2 linked regions of the Lepisosteus oculatus genome follow. The protein of the gene in region 2 interacts with the protein of the main gene of each other region in a biochemical or structural test. Links are inferred from orthologs where the notes say so. Each region holds a gene or a part of one and is shown on either strand. Other genes may lie near its edges.

Region 1 (7,753 bases), on a different chromosome or scaffold from region 2:
CCGACTAATCTGTTGACATTGTACCGAGCTATCACAACCAAAACAATGGAGTGAATGGTGGAGAAAAAGTCAAGGATGAATGCAATGTAAAGTTTCCATTCAACTGCATAGCGGATATATCTACATCAGCAGAACAAAAGTCGATACTTTGTCTTCCCTTCTGAAATATTTGATTATGCCAAATATTTCACATCTACAGGCCTCAACTTTGGAATTAGCACCATTTAGCTGTTGATTATTTCTAATTGCATTATACCTTTTAAAAATGTATTTTTAACTTGTCTGGGGTTCCTTTCAACTGATAACCTTTACCCTCTCAGTGTGGGTATCAGATTGGACAAATGTGTATTGAATCTCAAATTCTGAAACCCTTCATTCAGGTGGTTCTCCTTAGAGTGCTACACTTCTGAAACCCTCAAAGTAGTACAATCCCATAGTCTGTTCAACACTTAGTGCCTCTGATTTCTCTGAGTGCTTGTTGTAATTAGGTTTTTATAGGACTTAGAAATACGTGCTTTGAAGATAGACACTAATCCTCATCTTGGATTCTTCTCAGATCACAACTGAGTGATACCTTTATAAATGTTCTACAAATGAATAGTAAATATGTCCTTCTGCAATTGATATCTGCACATACATATCGATCCAAGAACATGAACCCAGGAACCTACAATACAACGCTTGGGTACCCTGATCTCTCAAATAATGCACGTACTTCTGTTCCTTCGTCACTCAGTTAAAGTCAGCCCAGGAAGATGCTGAACTGAAAGAAGCTGATAACCACAGCGACGCACAAAGAGACTTCATCCCTACCAAACCACCAAAAAGAATCAGCCATACCAACTAACAAAGTAGTCACGTCTAACAGTTAATCTTTCAATTCAGCTGGGAATAAAGTTTCTAATTTCCTTAAAATCCAAGAGGCCAGTTTTGTATTTCTATGACACCATTGTTTACAAAATATACAGTCATGATGATGATGTTTTTTAAATGTTTTTTCTTTACCCTTTGATAATGAATTTTATAAGTGGTTGCGTAAATCCACACTTGTGAGTATGACTAAGCAGTCTTCACCGAACATTCAGTGTAAACGATTACAGGAAAACTAGACATTCTGCAATATCTGAACAACTGCAATATGCGATTGAATATTTTCTTTTTACTGAAAAGAAAAAGTTGCTTTTTAAGAAATACTTTTTCTGCAATTAAGATTTAGATCGGTTAAGCAGTAACGCTAATACATTTGAATATCATAAGAACGGCTGTTTAAATTTACCATAATGTCATTAAGACCTCCTCTATGGTAGTAGCCTACAATGCAACACTTCAGTTTTGATAAACATTCACCGTTTTTACAATGTAAAACAGTAAACAAAAACATCAGTTGCAAAGAGAAACACGCAGGTTCTTAATACCGTAACCGGAGAAACTCCACAAAAAATAACGTAGTTATTTCTAGAATATACCAGCATAGAGCAGTAAGATTTAGAAATAACCTTCTGCAGAATATTTTACAGGCGTTGTTTGTGAGGAACTACGTCTTTATTTCAAGCAGAAAAAACTAAGATCAGTCAGGAAACCAATACCACTAACTGGTACAACTGAAAATTAGTTATTCGATTTCTCAGAAAGTTGTTTTGCTCCAAATACACTACGTGAAATGTTTTAGGTGGAATTTAACGTCCTGTTAAAACCACTGTATGATGCACTGGGGTATCAAAAAGTTCGGTATATACAGCACTCTAAACAGGAATTAAACCGTTATCAAATTAAAAACAAAAATTAAAAGTAAATGGTGTGTTATGCGTTAAATAACCCGGTGTGTGCTGGGGATATAAAGATCTTCGTCTCCAGCACAACAGTGGTGCGTCTTCATCCATTAAACCTGCAAATTCGGACCCACGAAAGAACAGATTATTCTAACACGATCGTTTTTTCGTCCCGTCTTTCAGGGCTAATTTTAATATTACGCCACGTTTAGTTTGTTTTCTAGTCCAATTTTTTTTTTCTCTCGTGAAAAATAAAACTCGCACGCACGAATCCATTGCAACATCGCGAATTTGATCGTACGTCACGTATTGTCGCCATTCGACTTCATTGAACACAGCGCGATTAACTACTGAATAATTCCCACTGGGGGTAGATAAATTGTCCACGAAACGCCCATCCTAACCGGTCAACCATTTATTTATTTGGGTTCCTCTGTTGTAGACGCTTCTGTTTTTATTGCAACCAATAACGCGTGTGTGTGTGTGGAGGGGGGTACATATACCAATTTATTTTAAAGAAAGCAGCTCCAGCTGGTTTGTAAAAGAAGGCGCCCACCTCCCCCCCCACCAATAAATGTGCACTGCTTTCATTGAGAAGGCAGGACCACCCGGGCGAAGAGGACTGAAAATGCGCGGATCGATTAATCGCCGTAGTGCACCGCCAGCCACCAAAGTCACGTTTCCTGGCGCACGTAGGCAGCGGCTCAGCCTCGCCGCTCTGCGTCATTCTCTACCTCGCCGTTTCCCAGCATTCAACCGGAAGCCCCTGGCTGCGCTCCTCTGGGCACCGGTACAATAGAGACAGTCTGCCCCGCATGGGTCGCAACATGTTCAACATTTGTGCTCCAAGGGCGCAAACCGCTCTGCTTTTATCTCGCCCAGTGACACGACACGGGGGTATACTAAGCCTAAAGGGAAACATACTGGTCCACATTGTTTTGTTTTGGGTTTTGTTTTTTTTTTAGCGGCTATGAAAGTCAAGAAAGCGGAGGTGCGGGTTTTTTTTTTTTTACCTTGCCGCCCGATTCCATCGTGGTTGAAGCCAGGACCGTCCTCACGTCAAGACTGCTCTGTCGTTCAGAAACTTTCGCGTCCCCGTAGAGGCTTGGAAGGAAAAAAAAAAGTCCCGATTTCCTCGTTTCTGTCTGTGCTAAAACTTGTTTTTTTTTTCACTGACGAAATAAATATATATATATAATGCGGAGTCTAACAGATTAAAATAAGTCCTTTATTGTGTGAGTTATCTTTCCTTTCTTCAGGCAGCCGCCGCGATGATCAAAACTGAAGCGCAAAACATCAGTGGAAAAGCAAAAGAAAGTTTTGATGCGGCTCCTTTATCCTTCCCTGGTCGGGTCGTGTAAAAGCAAACCGGTCCTGAGCTTGAAACTTCTCGTCTGAAATTGTATTTAGGGAAAATAAACCGGGTTTTATGCGTCAAGCCTTCTCCTCGCTGATTGGTTGGCCCAGGGGCTTAGAGGAAGGTGTGAGAGGAGGCCTGCGAGCTACTCGGCCTGTGATTGGTCAATATCCCCCCCCGGGAGGCGGTGTCTTGACAGGCTTAGCCCGTCTTTCACATAGGTAACACTGTCTGCCAAAAAGGGACACATTTTTTTTGAAGACCACAGGAGGACGTGCATGAAGAGAATTAACAAATAAAGCTGGTCTGCTGAGGCATTCGCTTCAAATATAGTTGTAAAAACGAATAGGAATATGAATATTCAGCCGGGGCGGCCCTCGGGTACGGGCGCATCTCCGGAATACAGTTTAGACTTCAACCACAAGTATAAATAAAATAGTAAACTAAAAAGCTATTAATGAAAAATAATAAACAGCTGTAATAATTTCTTTTTTCCCGGCTGACTGGTGAAAAAGCGGTGGTCACGTTTTTGCATACGTATGCCTGCTGCAACTAGCAACAAAACAGCGATTAACAGTAACAGTAATAAGCTTTATTTTAAAACCAGCTGCAGGAATGTCGGCAATTAAAGAGCCACACAGACAGCCAGACAGGGCAGCACTCTGCGTCAATTAAATAAAAGGTATTCTTATCATGTGAGGAAAAACAAGAAACTTGTTTATGGCGATTAAAAGTTCCTCTGGTGCCCGGTTCATCTTACTTTTCTAGTATTTCTTAAGATAGTCCCATTTTTTACTTTGTTGCTAAAGAAAACTAGACAAATAGATCATTAAGTGTTTTTTTTTTCCCCTGTGGTAGAAAAACACTTCCTATTTAAGAATCTCGAGTGATCCATCATTTGTAGAAATCCCCGGTGTAAATGCCTAGGCTGTACAAGCCCTAGACTGCTCCATTAATAATAGAAAAAGACGATGCTGACATTGTATCTGCTCTGAGTAAGGCTATTTTCCACTCAGAACTCCTGAGTGTTTTTCACGTGATCTGCTATCAACCAGTCAGTGTACTGTATTTGTCTATTTGCTTATAGGGAAGTTTTATTAAGAACGTGGGGTAGGTTTTCTATTAGAAAATAAAACGTTTAGCTCTCCCCGGGTCTACTGAAAAAATAACTTTGAGCTTTTGTTTCCTTCAGTAAATTACCTATAAGTCATCCTGGTACTTATCAAGAAGGGTTAGAAACTGATAATCTGGTGTGTCATGTCATCATTAAAGTCTAGTGGGCCTTAAAATATATATATATATTTTAGTTTGCCAGGTCAACAGAAATAAAAGGGGCATGCATCTTTATAAATAAAAAACACTCTCTTTAAGAAGGTAACATTAAGAGGTTTTGCACAAATGGTTTCTACATTTTATTAAGTACAGAAGAGGAAAATGCTAGAAAATGACAACAGCTGCAAGCTCTTTCTCACCTAACCAATTTCCTACTCAAACTTAGTAGGAGAACATAACCTACTAATAATATAACTGAAAAATCCCATTATCTTCGACTGACGTATCGCTTCAGTCTTCAAAAGCAATCAATATATCTGTACAAGAAAGTTACAGGAAAAATTGTTACAAAGGGTAATGTCTTTCCAAGTGTACACAGGAAGTCTTTACAAGCTTACTTTGAAAATGTATGTTACTTTTGGTGTCATGAGTGCAGCATGGTAGTATGAGCAGTTAGCAAAGGTTTCTCACAACTCTTGAGCCCTAGGTTTGATTCCAGATGTGGGTGACTTACTGTATGTGTGGAGTCTGCATGGTCTTTGTTGTTCATAATATTCTGGCTAGTCTAACTGGTGTCTTGAAATTGTTCTTGTGAATGTGAGTGTGTGCCTTCTGAGGAACTGGCATCTTGTCGAGTGTGGTCCTACCTTGTTGGACTGTCCAGAAAAGCGCTATACAAGTGTAAGCAATTATTATTATTATTATTATTAATAATAATATTGTATCCCGTGTCCTGGTTATGTACCAGCTGTGAGACACTGCACAGGATGAAGCAGTTAAAGATAAAGACAGGATTTTAATTTTATTTTGAAGGATACCCTGTATTTCTAACTGATATAGTCCAGTTGATACACCTTTGAAAATACAGATCATACACTTTTGGACCTACATTTTTAGTTTGTACATTTATTGAAAACAATTCTGAGATGAAAACTAAAAATCTCTCAGAACTCACACATTCATTCCGTTACAGTGCCCTACAGCCCTGGTGATATCCGCAAGTATTTTGATCAATCTCAAGCAAGTATAAATATTAATCCTCTAATAAAATTTGTCATCAGCCTATTCAAACCATATAGAGCCAACCTGAAGCTAAGTTGGAAATAAAATGGAGGCTGTTACAGGACAGGAGTTGTGGGATTCCTTAGCATGTAGACAACATTTACACAAATTTGTCTTTATAAAGCAAAAATAGTTAGCAGAAGTGTTACCCCGTATACATGTTTTTTCTAGTATAGAAATTCAATTCAATTCAACTTTATTGTCATTAAACTTACACAGGTGCATAGTATAATGAAAAGTGTTTCTCATTAGTCACTCAGGTGCAGTATAGTATAATAGAGATGGTAAAGCGTTATAACTTAGCTTTTCAAAGTAAGAAATTTTACATTCCGCTAGGTAGCAGCTCAAACTAAGTGTAATGAGCTTCTGCATTTGCTTTAAACACAATGTAGCCAACTTAACCTAAAAGCATCAGGATTCTGATCATATTCATCTGATGAAGAAGAAGACAAGATCACAACAGAATCACCTTTCATCGACCGGTGTGCAAGGAGGTACATAAATCCACGTACCTCTACTTTAATTCTGAGAATATTCCCGGAACGGGAGGCTTGAGAAAACGAAAAATCTGGGAGAGCAGAGCAAGAGTAAGGGTGTAGATGGATAAGTGCCCTGTGGAACAATAGCTTAAAGCCAAACTAAAGTCCGAAGAAAGCCTGCAGTGGGGGCAGGGTGGGTTAGTGGCTCCTTTGTTGTGTTTCTTTCGACCTAAAAGGAAATTACAGGGAGGGGCCAGTTTTTTTCCAAAGGACATCACAGATTGCGTTCGGCACTCAGTCTGGGAGCCCTTGCTACACATGCACACAGAGACATGTTACATCATGACCGTGAGTCCACCTGCTCTGACAAAATGATTTGCAGCATTTAGTAATAACTGAAGGATACAGCAATTCATGTCATGAAGTCATTCGTCCCAGCAAAGAATACACACAGATTCTGTCCTGCAGGAACAAAAACCATATTGTTAAACCCTTCACTTACCAGAGCTAAAAGATGTTTGACTGTCTGTAAAGTAATTGATGGGGTAGTGTACGTAATGTCAATTTACATAATAGAAATGTGCGTCTTTGGAAAACAGAAGGTTACAAAGTGGAAATTGATATTAAAGTCATAAGATATGAAGTCCAAGTCCAGAACTTTATACAATGTACCAAGCAGTCTATGTGATGGCTACATCCTGCAACACTATTGTTCAACCATCCGCTATGTCAGATATGGAGGAAAGGTTGAGTTTTAGATGGGGGTGAGTGGATAGTACTTCTTCATTCATTCTGTGCTGTTATGTTTTAATTTATTTGGGTTGTACAAAACAGGTCGCCTGTTTACTTTGTAGTGCTGAAGAAACAGAATCAGTTAGCTACTTGACCTACAGTACTTCACTGTGAAGATCAGTGCAAGATCCCTTTTCATTTACCATATTTTCTTATTTATTCACAGATTTTCAATATTCTGCAGAAGGCGTAGTCAAGCGAACTACTTTTAGCAATGAAACAAATGTTTCATGCATGACATTTTAAATCAAACTGTTTACAAGCAGTATTATGACTCACCATTTTATGTTGACTTTTTTTCATGCCTGTTGCAGTTATTCAGTCAAGAATATTTCTTTTCATATTCCATCTCTTCCTCTTTGCCTCTTTCACCCACGTGCACACCAGCACTAAAAAGACAGCTATCTGCACAGCACTGTCTGAATAATTCATGACTAACTCATGACATGTTCTCACAGATAAAAGCTGCCTTATACTGGGATATCTATAAAGCCAACCAGAACTACGTGTTGCTGTAAATAATCCATCACCCTGATATACTGTATATAGCTCCAGCACAACTTGCTCCCAATTAAGAATCTTAATTTTAAAATGCTTGTGGGGTAAACTGTACATGCACTGCTCTCTGTCAGCAGCAGTTGTTAATGCTTTGAGATAAAAACACCGATAGCTGCAGGAACAAAATAGTAAAGCCTCCTTATCTCTCTTACATTTGACAGTCCCAAAGCACAGTATTTTTTTACATTTACCTGAAACACCTTTTAATTAAAATACCTGCTATAGAGTTTAATACATGCTATAGAGATTAATTTTGTGATATGAACTTGGAAAACATCCGCTAACCCATTACAGCACAAGTAGGTTTTATTTGTGTTGGCACATTATTAGTAGTGTTAGTATTAATATTATTAGAAAAGTAGAAAAGATCAAACCAAGCATGAGTAAAAAGTTACTTTGGGGATGTACTGAACTCAATGGCCTAAGAAAAGTTCCAAGTGTCCTGAAAATGGAATGAGTGCACT
Region 2 (7,744 bases):
TTTTTGCAAGAGCGGGGATGTTAACTGCAGAGTCCCGGAACATCACCCTAGCGTTGCAGTCTGATAACTAATCGAATTGACTGGATTAATTAATTAATTAGATCTATTAATTTGATGGAGTGGGTCCCCTACTGTATCTAAAAGGGAATAATTAATTAACTGGGGATTATAGCTGTGATTGCAGACGTACTTTCAATGCAATTGAAACAGTCTCTAGGATCAATGTTGGTTCCAATCTGGACAACAAACAGGAGAAATTAGAGGCACTTATGAATTAATCATACATAAATTCGGAGTCTTGTCTCTGAAAAACCCTGCGTTGTTGTTGTTTTGACTTGAGTCCCGCGCAGCCGGGCGGCCAAGGCAACACGTGCCAGCACACATTCCCAAACCTGGCGCTCCTCTGTTACGCCGCGAGCGGCGTGTCGTGTCGTGTCGTCATCCCAGTCCCGGATCACCAACAGCGTGTGCGCAAGTCTTCATTCCCGACACTCCCCGTCCCCCGCTCTTCATCACTGTCAGTCGGAAAGTTTGACTTACAGGTGATGTTTATAGAGATGCAGGGTACGAGGTGGCGCAACAGTACCGACTCTAGAAACAACCACTAGGGGGCGCCAAGTCCCCAAGGTTATGCCACCAGCTCGCCAAATATATGCTACAGTTGTGAGACGACCGCAGTTTCAATTTAGCCTTTTTATTTATTGGGAAAACAGTAATTTAGTAATAATACAGTCTATGCATTACGCACACAACCCGACGAAATTATACCTCTTTTTGTCAATTACCGGTGCTTATCTGGTATTAACCCAAAGCTCCGTGAAGTTGCCGTGGAAAAAGGTGATAAACTGGTCCCATTAAGCTGATAATGGGCAAAATTAGGTCATTAAGAGCTGAGCTGGAAGCAAAAAAAGATAAAAACTTGTTTTATTGTTTGAAGGGGGGGTAACTTCACCAAGTTCTAACCCAACAGGCGGGTAACCCGACTGCACTAATGTGGGTGAAAACGGTGTTATCCTGCTGGAAGATGCCCTCGGTATTGCGAGGACGGGTTATGTCCAGTATGGATCCCGGAATGGCTGCTGTGTCTGAAGACGAGCTAATCTAGATACACGAGATATTCATTTTTTGGTGGATGCTTTTATGCTCATTTTCATCCATTTATCTATGGGAATGTTACTGGAATAAGGCGAAGTACCCTGCTCAGAAAGTCCTGCTTAGCCACAGGGCCCCATCCCGTGACATAACATTGGACAACGTTTCAATGTTTTCTTTTAACTGTGACGTAGTGCAATTCACGCGTTTACCGCGCGCGTACCCCAGCTTGCTCTCCATGAGACACACAGACGGGGAGAGAAGCTGGGGGTCAGAGCGCAGGGTCAGCCATTGTACAGCGCCCCCGGAGCAGGGGGGGTGAAGGGCCTTGCTCAGGGGCCCAACGGGGTAGGATTTCTCTGCCGGCCGTGGGATACGAACCGGCAACTTTCCAGCCACAGGCGCAGATCCTGAGCCACAGACCTACGGGTAAGTGCATTTAAAATGATAACGATAACAGTGCCTTACACAAAGGGTGGTGGGGGTGTGGACCAAGCTGCCCAGGCAATCATGTTGAAGTCGACACCCTGGGTGCTTTTGACAGACCCAGTTAGACACTATCGAACCGGCTAGATGGGGGGTGGTCTCCTGCCGTTTGTAATCATAACCGTGATCTTCTGGCTGAAGGCGCAGAGTTTATCGATGGAATACTCGATCCTATTCACCGTCAGAAATGTCCCGCAGCTGTAGGGATAACTGAATTTACATCCTGTCCCTTCAGCTTGTCTGCGCGATGTGATTGCCGGACCGTCACTAGCTGGGATGAAAGAATGAAAATGTCGTTCACGCGTGTAGTGGAACTCACTCGGCTTCGTGTTTAAACGGGTGGGAACAGGAGGTCCGTCCACCCGATATGTCTGTGATCCCACGTGTCTTATCACGGCTCCTTCAGGGTGCGGGGGAGTCCCGTGTTCCTGGACAGCGCCGGGAAAGACAAATCCGGCGGTGTCGAGACTTAAAATGAACCTCTCCCGTTTCAGTCTCGCTCTCGCGCCCCTGGGGTTCCACAAAATCCCGAAAGGTCCCCGGTTCAGGGACTGCGTCATAAAACACCGGTCTCTCTAAGGCGCAATTAACAATTAGACTTTGCGCCGCTTTCCCACCATTTGTAATCATAATCCTTTTATTTTTCCATTTGTTTCCTATCGGAAATGTGCAGGAGACTCCTTGTGGGTTGCGTGAATCCGGCCGAACCTCCTTATTGTACCCGACCGGTTCCTTCGCGAGGAGAATCCGGTTTTAATGTAAATCGATCCAGTCCGGTCCGATACGGCGTATACAAGCAAGAAACCGTTTTAACAACGACCGATTCGTTTTTATTGAGGTTGAAAAGATACAACTTCGGCTTCGATTTATCTAAAACGTGTGGATGGCGGGGGTTAAGGCAATTAACTGAGTTCGAGCGCTTCACTTTGAGTTGCTTGGTGTGGGGGTATCGAATATGTAACTGGAATTACAGAACATGGCAGCCCACTGGCGTGGGCGCAGAACCACGGAGGAGAACCGAAATTAGTTCACTGCGGACCCAAACCGACCCAACCGATCCCGTTTCAGCGTCAATAAACCGTCGCGAGTGAATCATAACTTCACCTTCTTCAGATAGCACTGCCAACGGGTGGTCGGTTAGGGGGGGCAACACCATTACCGTATCTGTGGGACCAAAACACTCGGGAGAGGAGTGACGCAATGCTTTTCAGGCTGTAAAATCATGCCGTGATTACAGAAACTCAGAGTCCTTCCAAAAAACAAGACTCGAAACTCGATGGTCAACCGCTAAAGTATTTTTTCCTCTCTATATATGTGTCGACATATAGGTACAGGAAAGTAAGGAAAAACCATTTAGGAATTTCGTGCGATTTAAGGTTTGTCCAGCACTGGTTGCTGAGCTGAAATGTTTGGACCATCCTAGGGATGAATCCTAAGCAATTTTGGTCAAGACGCTAATATATCTTGATGATGGAAAAATCGAACATTCTCCCTGAGCACTTAATGTCTTCAAAGTGTGTTTTCACCCACTGCCTGTCTGTTCGGGTAGCCTCCTGATGGAACTTACATCGAATTAAAACGCGTTTCTGTGACACGACAGTGTTTTATCCCGCTTGATGGTAGATAACGAGGAACGGTATGTCTGTGCAGATCAACATTGTAATTGTCGCAATACGATAAGCCCTACTTGCGCGTTAGAGGTGCTGTACAGTAACACACTAATACAAGACAAAAAAGGAAATAAAAATCATCACATTTGCTTACAAAAAAACGAGTAAAACTAGACTGAGACATTAAAAGCTACAGTGAACGGATAAATAAAACTGTATACTGTGTATCTCTCTATATATACTGTTTTCCAGCTATTTCCTTTCTGAGGTTAAATAAAATATCGTTTTAAGTGGTATGAGTCTAACGATCGTCTGAAATATTCTTAGAAGTCCGTTTCCCTCAGAATAGTTCGTTAGATTTAGCGTCACATTATATCAACATACTGTAGCGTTGTTTTCCTGTAGCTGTTGTTCTTTGAAATAAAGAATATCAATTTCATCCCCAATATCTGTTTTATCAACAGTATGTCTGATTGCAGTCTGTTAAGGTAAAGTCGTCTGAGAAAGAATCCAAACTATACTTTTTCTAAACTATATTTTTTACTTCACATTTTTTTGCCATTTTTGTGGGTGTACTTTTCACACAAATTTGTATCTCGTTGTTTGTCCCATCAGCGGCCCGTTTCGAGCAATAATGTGTACGGCTGGCATTTTTTAGAATGTATTTATCTTTTTATTTTTGTGTAATGCGTGTCTGTAAAAATCGTTGTTTGGGTGCAAGCGGGGTATCGCCTTCGAACTGTTGCGATTATAATTGAGAGTTCCCTTGGAATCCCTGAGGTTACTACGGAACGTGCCTGTTCCTCTTAAAAACATCCCGTCTGGTACATCTGGCCACTCCCCGAACAGAAAAAAAAAACGGTACAATGTGTGCAATACTGTTTTTGTGTGTGTGGTGGTTGAGAGACAAAGACGCAGGAGAGACAGGAGATTGGCTCAGGCCCGCTTGGCCACGCCCCGTCACTCGCTGAGCACTCGCCGCCGTGTTTTCCTCCATGAGCTGAACACGCGCCGCCGCCGGCCGCTGATTGGCCGAGCGCGACACAAACAGCCCGGCTCGGCCAATGGGCGCGCTGTGCACGCGGGCAGCCGAGCCGGGCATCCCAGCGCCGCATGAGCAGCCGGGGTGGAGGGGAGCGAGCCGATTCACTGGCAGTATAAAACCCGACTTCCCCGTTCTCTGTTTACACCCTCTAAAGTTACCGCGGAGTACAGATGGTGCCTAGCATACGCGCAGTAGACAGAGGAAATAGGAGCACTCGTGCTTTCTAATTAGACGTGGCTAGTTCGCCTTCACTTGCAAAACTCGTCAAAAGATAAGAAATATCGACCGTGCTCGGCAGAACTGCAAGTTTGCTTGGAAGCAGCTTCTGCGAAAGTCGATCCCTTATCTCGCTCAGGTGTGACTGACTGATTGATTGCACTTTCTGGATAAAGCAAGCTTCGATCGGCGGACAATGGTGGGCATGATGAAGAAAGTGAAGACCTTCGAGGTGATCTTCAGCGACCCCAGCAAGACGGCCTACTCCAGCGGGGACAAGGTGGCCGGCCGGGTGGCGCTGGAGGTGTCCGAGGTGACGCGGGTGTCGGCCCTGCGGGTGCTCGGCGTGGGCTGCGCCAAGGTGGAGTACGCCAAGGGCAAGCAGCGGTGCCGCGAGGAGATGGACTACCTGAAGTACGAGGACACGCTGCACCTGGACGACCAGCCCACAGGTGAGGGCGAGCGAGCGAGTGCGTGTCTCGGGGAGGGGGGTGCGGAGGGGTCAGAGACGGGCATGAGCGGTGCAGGGGCTGGTTCGAAAAGCAAAACCAAAAGTTGAAAACGTCCTTTTCAAAGCGGTGCGTTTTTAGGGTAAAGGAAGCTCCCCCCCCTCAATTAAGTTTCCCAATGCAGCAGAATGACGGCTACTTTCCGTGAAGTGTTTGGTGGTTGTTGTTTCTCTCCCCCCCCAGTTTGTCATCGGGGCAAGAAAGTTTTGCTTAGTTTCGGTTTCAGCCAAGCGGCGGTGCTGACGAATTAAAAAAAAAAAAAGAGAGAGAGAGCAGGAAGGGGTTTAAGCTGTGGAAACGAGCGACTGTTTTTCCGAGCTGCCTGGACCTTCAGGGTCGGTGATAAACAACATCCCCAGCTGGGGGAAACGGCACCGGGGCCCTCTTGCTCGTCTCCGCCGCAGGGGGGCGCTGGCACGGAGATGGTCCGGTCGGGGAAAGTCCATGCGGGGATTCCCCCCTCCTGGCGTGGAAATGTGCCGGGCCCCGGGAGGGTGAATGCCTACTGTACTTGGGTAGCGCCCAGGCTGGGCCGCCGGCCGGCTGGCATTCAGGCTCGGCTGGCCCGGGACGCGAGGTCGTCAGAGCTGTTTGAAGGAAGTCCCCGTCTGTAACGACAGGGGGTGGTTAGAGAGAAGCGAGGGCAGAGAAAATCACGGCTTTGTTCAATTAAAAAACGAAAAATGCTGAAACTGCGAGGTTTGTGGGTGGGGGAGGGGGAGAAGTCGTTCCAAAAACAAATAATTAAACCGTTTTTGCTTTCTATTTCAGACAAGGATGGCTCTGTGACTCTGAGACCGGGGAACAAATACGAGTACATGTTTGGATTTGAGCTTCCTCAGCAAGGGTAGGTGTCTCTTTTTTTTTTTTTAATCTTAAAAAAAATGGCTCGTCTCTTTATTCAGCCTCCCCAAAAAAGGCCTCCGTTCTGTGGGCTTACGGCGCGATCTCTGCCCCCCTGTTCCTGCAGGCAGCTGGTGTCCTCCTACAAGGGGAAGTTCGGGAGTGTGCAATACTACGTGAAGGCCCTGCTGGAGAGACCCTCCCACCCCACCCTGGAGACCACCAAGAACTTTGACGTGGTGGAGCCCCTGGACGTCAACACCCCTGACCTGGATGTAAGTGAGACTCTCCTCCTTTCCTCCACTGGGACATCAGACTGGTTTCTCTGATGCAGTTGAAAGGGCTTCAGTCCTTCAGATTGGGATTTGTGCCTGAAGTCTTGCTGGTACAGAGGCTGACGTTCCCCTTGCGAGTGTTACTGGGCCGCCAGCGGGGCCCGAGTTGAGCTGGTCACTGGTCTGAGTGGGAGAGGCGCTGGTGGGGCTGGACTTGACCTGGGCTCTTGTTCTTCTCTCTCTCCAGTCTCCAGCAGCCGGGGCCAAGGAGAAGAAGGTCACCTGTATGTTCATCCCTGACGGACAGGTGTCTCTGAACGCCAGGATCGACCGCAGGGGCTTCTGCGAAGGTGAGTGACAAACGAGGGGAGGTGCTTCCTTTACACCGAGGGTGGTGGGAGTGTGGCACAAGCCACCCAGCCATATGGGTTGAAGCCAGTAACCTGGATTCTGTCAGTGCAAAGATGGATTAGATCCTCCAGTTGGGGACAGCAGGCATTTCTTTACACAAAGGGTGGTGGGAGAAGGGACCTAGCTACCCAGCAATGCTGTTAAGAGCCAGGGTGTCGGCTTTCAAAGACATAGCTGGATGAGATCCTGGGTTCAGTTCAGTCTCCCTCAAAGGGGATAGATGAGCTGTAATGGCCTCCTCTTGGATCTGTATCCAACCTTGAGTTCAGTCTTGACCAAAGCCCGTTGAGCTCAGTGTAGTTCTGGAGTTTTAACTCTCTCCTCTTCCCTGCTCCCCCCCCCCAGGCGAGGATATCTGCATCAGCGCCAAGTTCGAGAACACCTGCTCCCGCATCGTGGTGCCCAAGGCCGCCATCATCGCCAAGCACACCTACCAGGCCAACGGCCGCACCAAGGTCTTCCGGCAGAAGCTGTCGTCGGTGCGAGGGAACCACATCATCTCTGGCATGTGCGACGCCTGGCAGGGCAAGACTATCCGCGTGCCCAAGATCAAGCCGTCCATCCTGGGCTGCAACATCATCCGCGTGGAGTACGCGCTGATGGTGAGCACCACGCTCTCTGCTCCCGTCTGCTGGCCGGCTGGCGAGTAGGGTGACTGGTCACGTCAAGGCAGAGTAGGCACACAGGAAGTTGACGAACCAGAGGCCATTGGAGCCTGTACAGTAGTTGATTGATCCCCCATCAAAAACCAGGGTATCGGGGCTCGACAGCATGGCTGGGCAGCTTGTTCCACACTCCCGCCACTCTTGGGGTAAAGACCAGGTCGAGATTTGTTTTGTAGTTGGGAGACGAGTGCAGTGCTTCTCCCGTGCAGCCAGGTTCCAGGCTCTAATCCGGTTGCCTCTCTCCGCTCAGATCTACGTCCACATCCCGGGCAGCGACAAGCTGATGCTGGAGCTGCCCCTGGTCATCGGCACCGTCCCCTACAACGGGCTCAGCAGCCGCAACAACAGCATGTGCAGCCAGGGCGGCAGCAGCACCTCCTCCAACAGCTGGGTGTCCCTGCGCATGCCCAGCGCGCCGCCCAGCTACTGCGACATCACCCGGGACTGCAGGCTGGACACCCCTCTCACCCCGCTGCTGGACGACTACGACGAGGGCGACAGCCCCCTCTTCATGAACGCCCCCGAGTTCCAGTTCCCTCCCCTGCCAGCCTACTCCGAGGTAAAAGAGGGTCTCGAGGAGGGGGGGGTAGAG

What was found. The genes of interacting proteins can lie anywhere in the genome.
Region 1: the proteins of txnipb (region 2) and solute carrier family 2, facilitated glucose transporter member 1-like form a complex in vitro, tested with the Homo sapiens proteins (2 studies listed by BioGRID). The link is inferred for Lepisosteus oculatus from reciprocal best matches to the Homo sapiens genes TXNIP and SLC2A1.

What each region holds. Positions count from the first base shown.
Region 1 is NC_090720.1:7,027,432-7,035,184, forward strand, and holds the start of solute carrier family 2, facilitated glucose transporter member 1-like, read right to left. Parts: upstream 3,184-7,753; 5' UTR 2,801-3,183; coding exon 2,783-2,800; intron 1-2,782. UniProt on the Homo sapiens protein: Facilitative glucose transporter, which is responsible for constitutive or basal glucose uptake. Has a very broad substrate specificity; can transport a wide range of aldoses including both pentoses and hexoses.
Region 2 is NC_090722.1:4,355,820-4,363,563, forward strand, and holds the start of txnipb (thioredoxin interacting protein b), read left to right. Parts: upstream 1-4,363; 5' UTR 4,364-4,645; coding exon 4,646-4,901; intron 4,902-5,729; coding exon 5,730-5,805; intron 5,806-5,928; coding exon 5,929-6,076; intron 6,077-6,323; coding exon 6,324-6,426; intron 6,427-6,832; coding exon 6,833-7,089; intron 7,090-7,402; coding exon 7,403-7,711; intron 7,712-7,744. UniProt on the Homo sapiens protein: May act as an oxidative stress mediator by inhibiting thioredoxin activity or by limiting its bioavailability.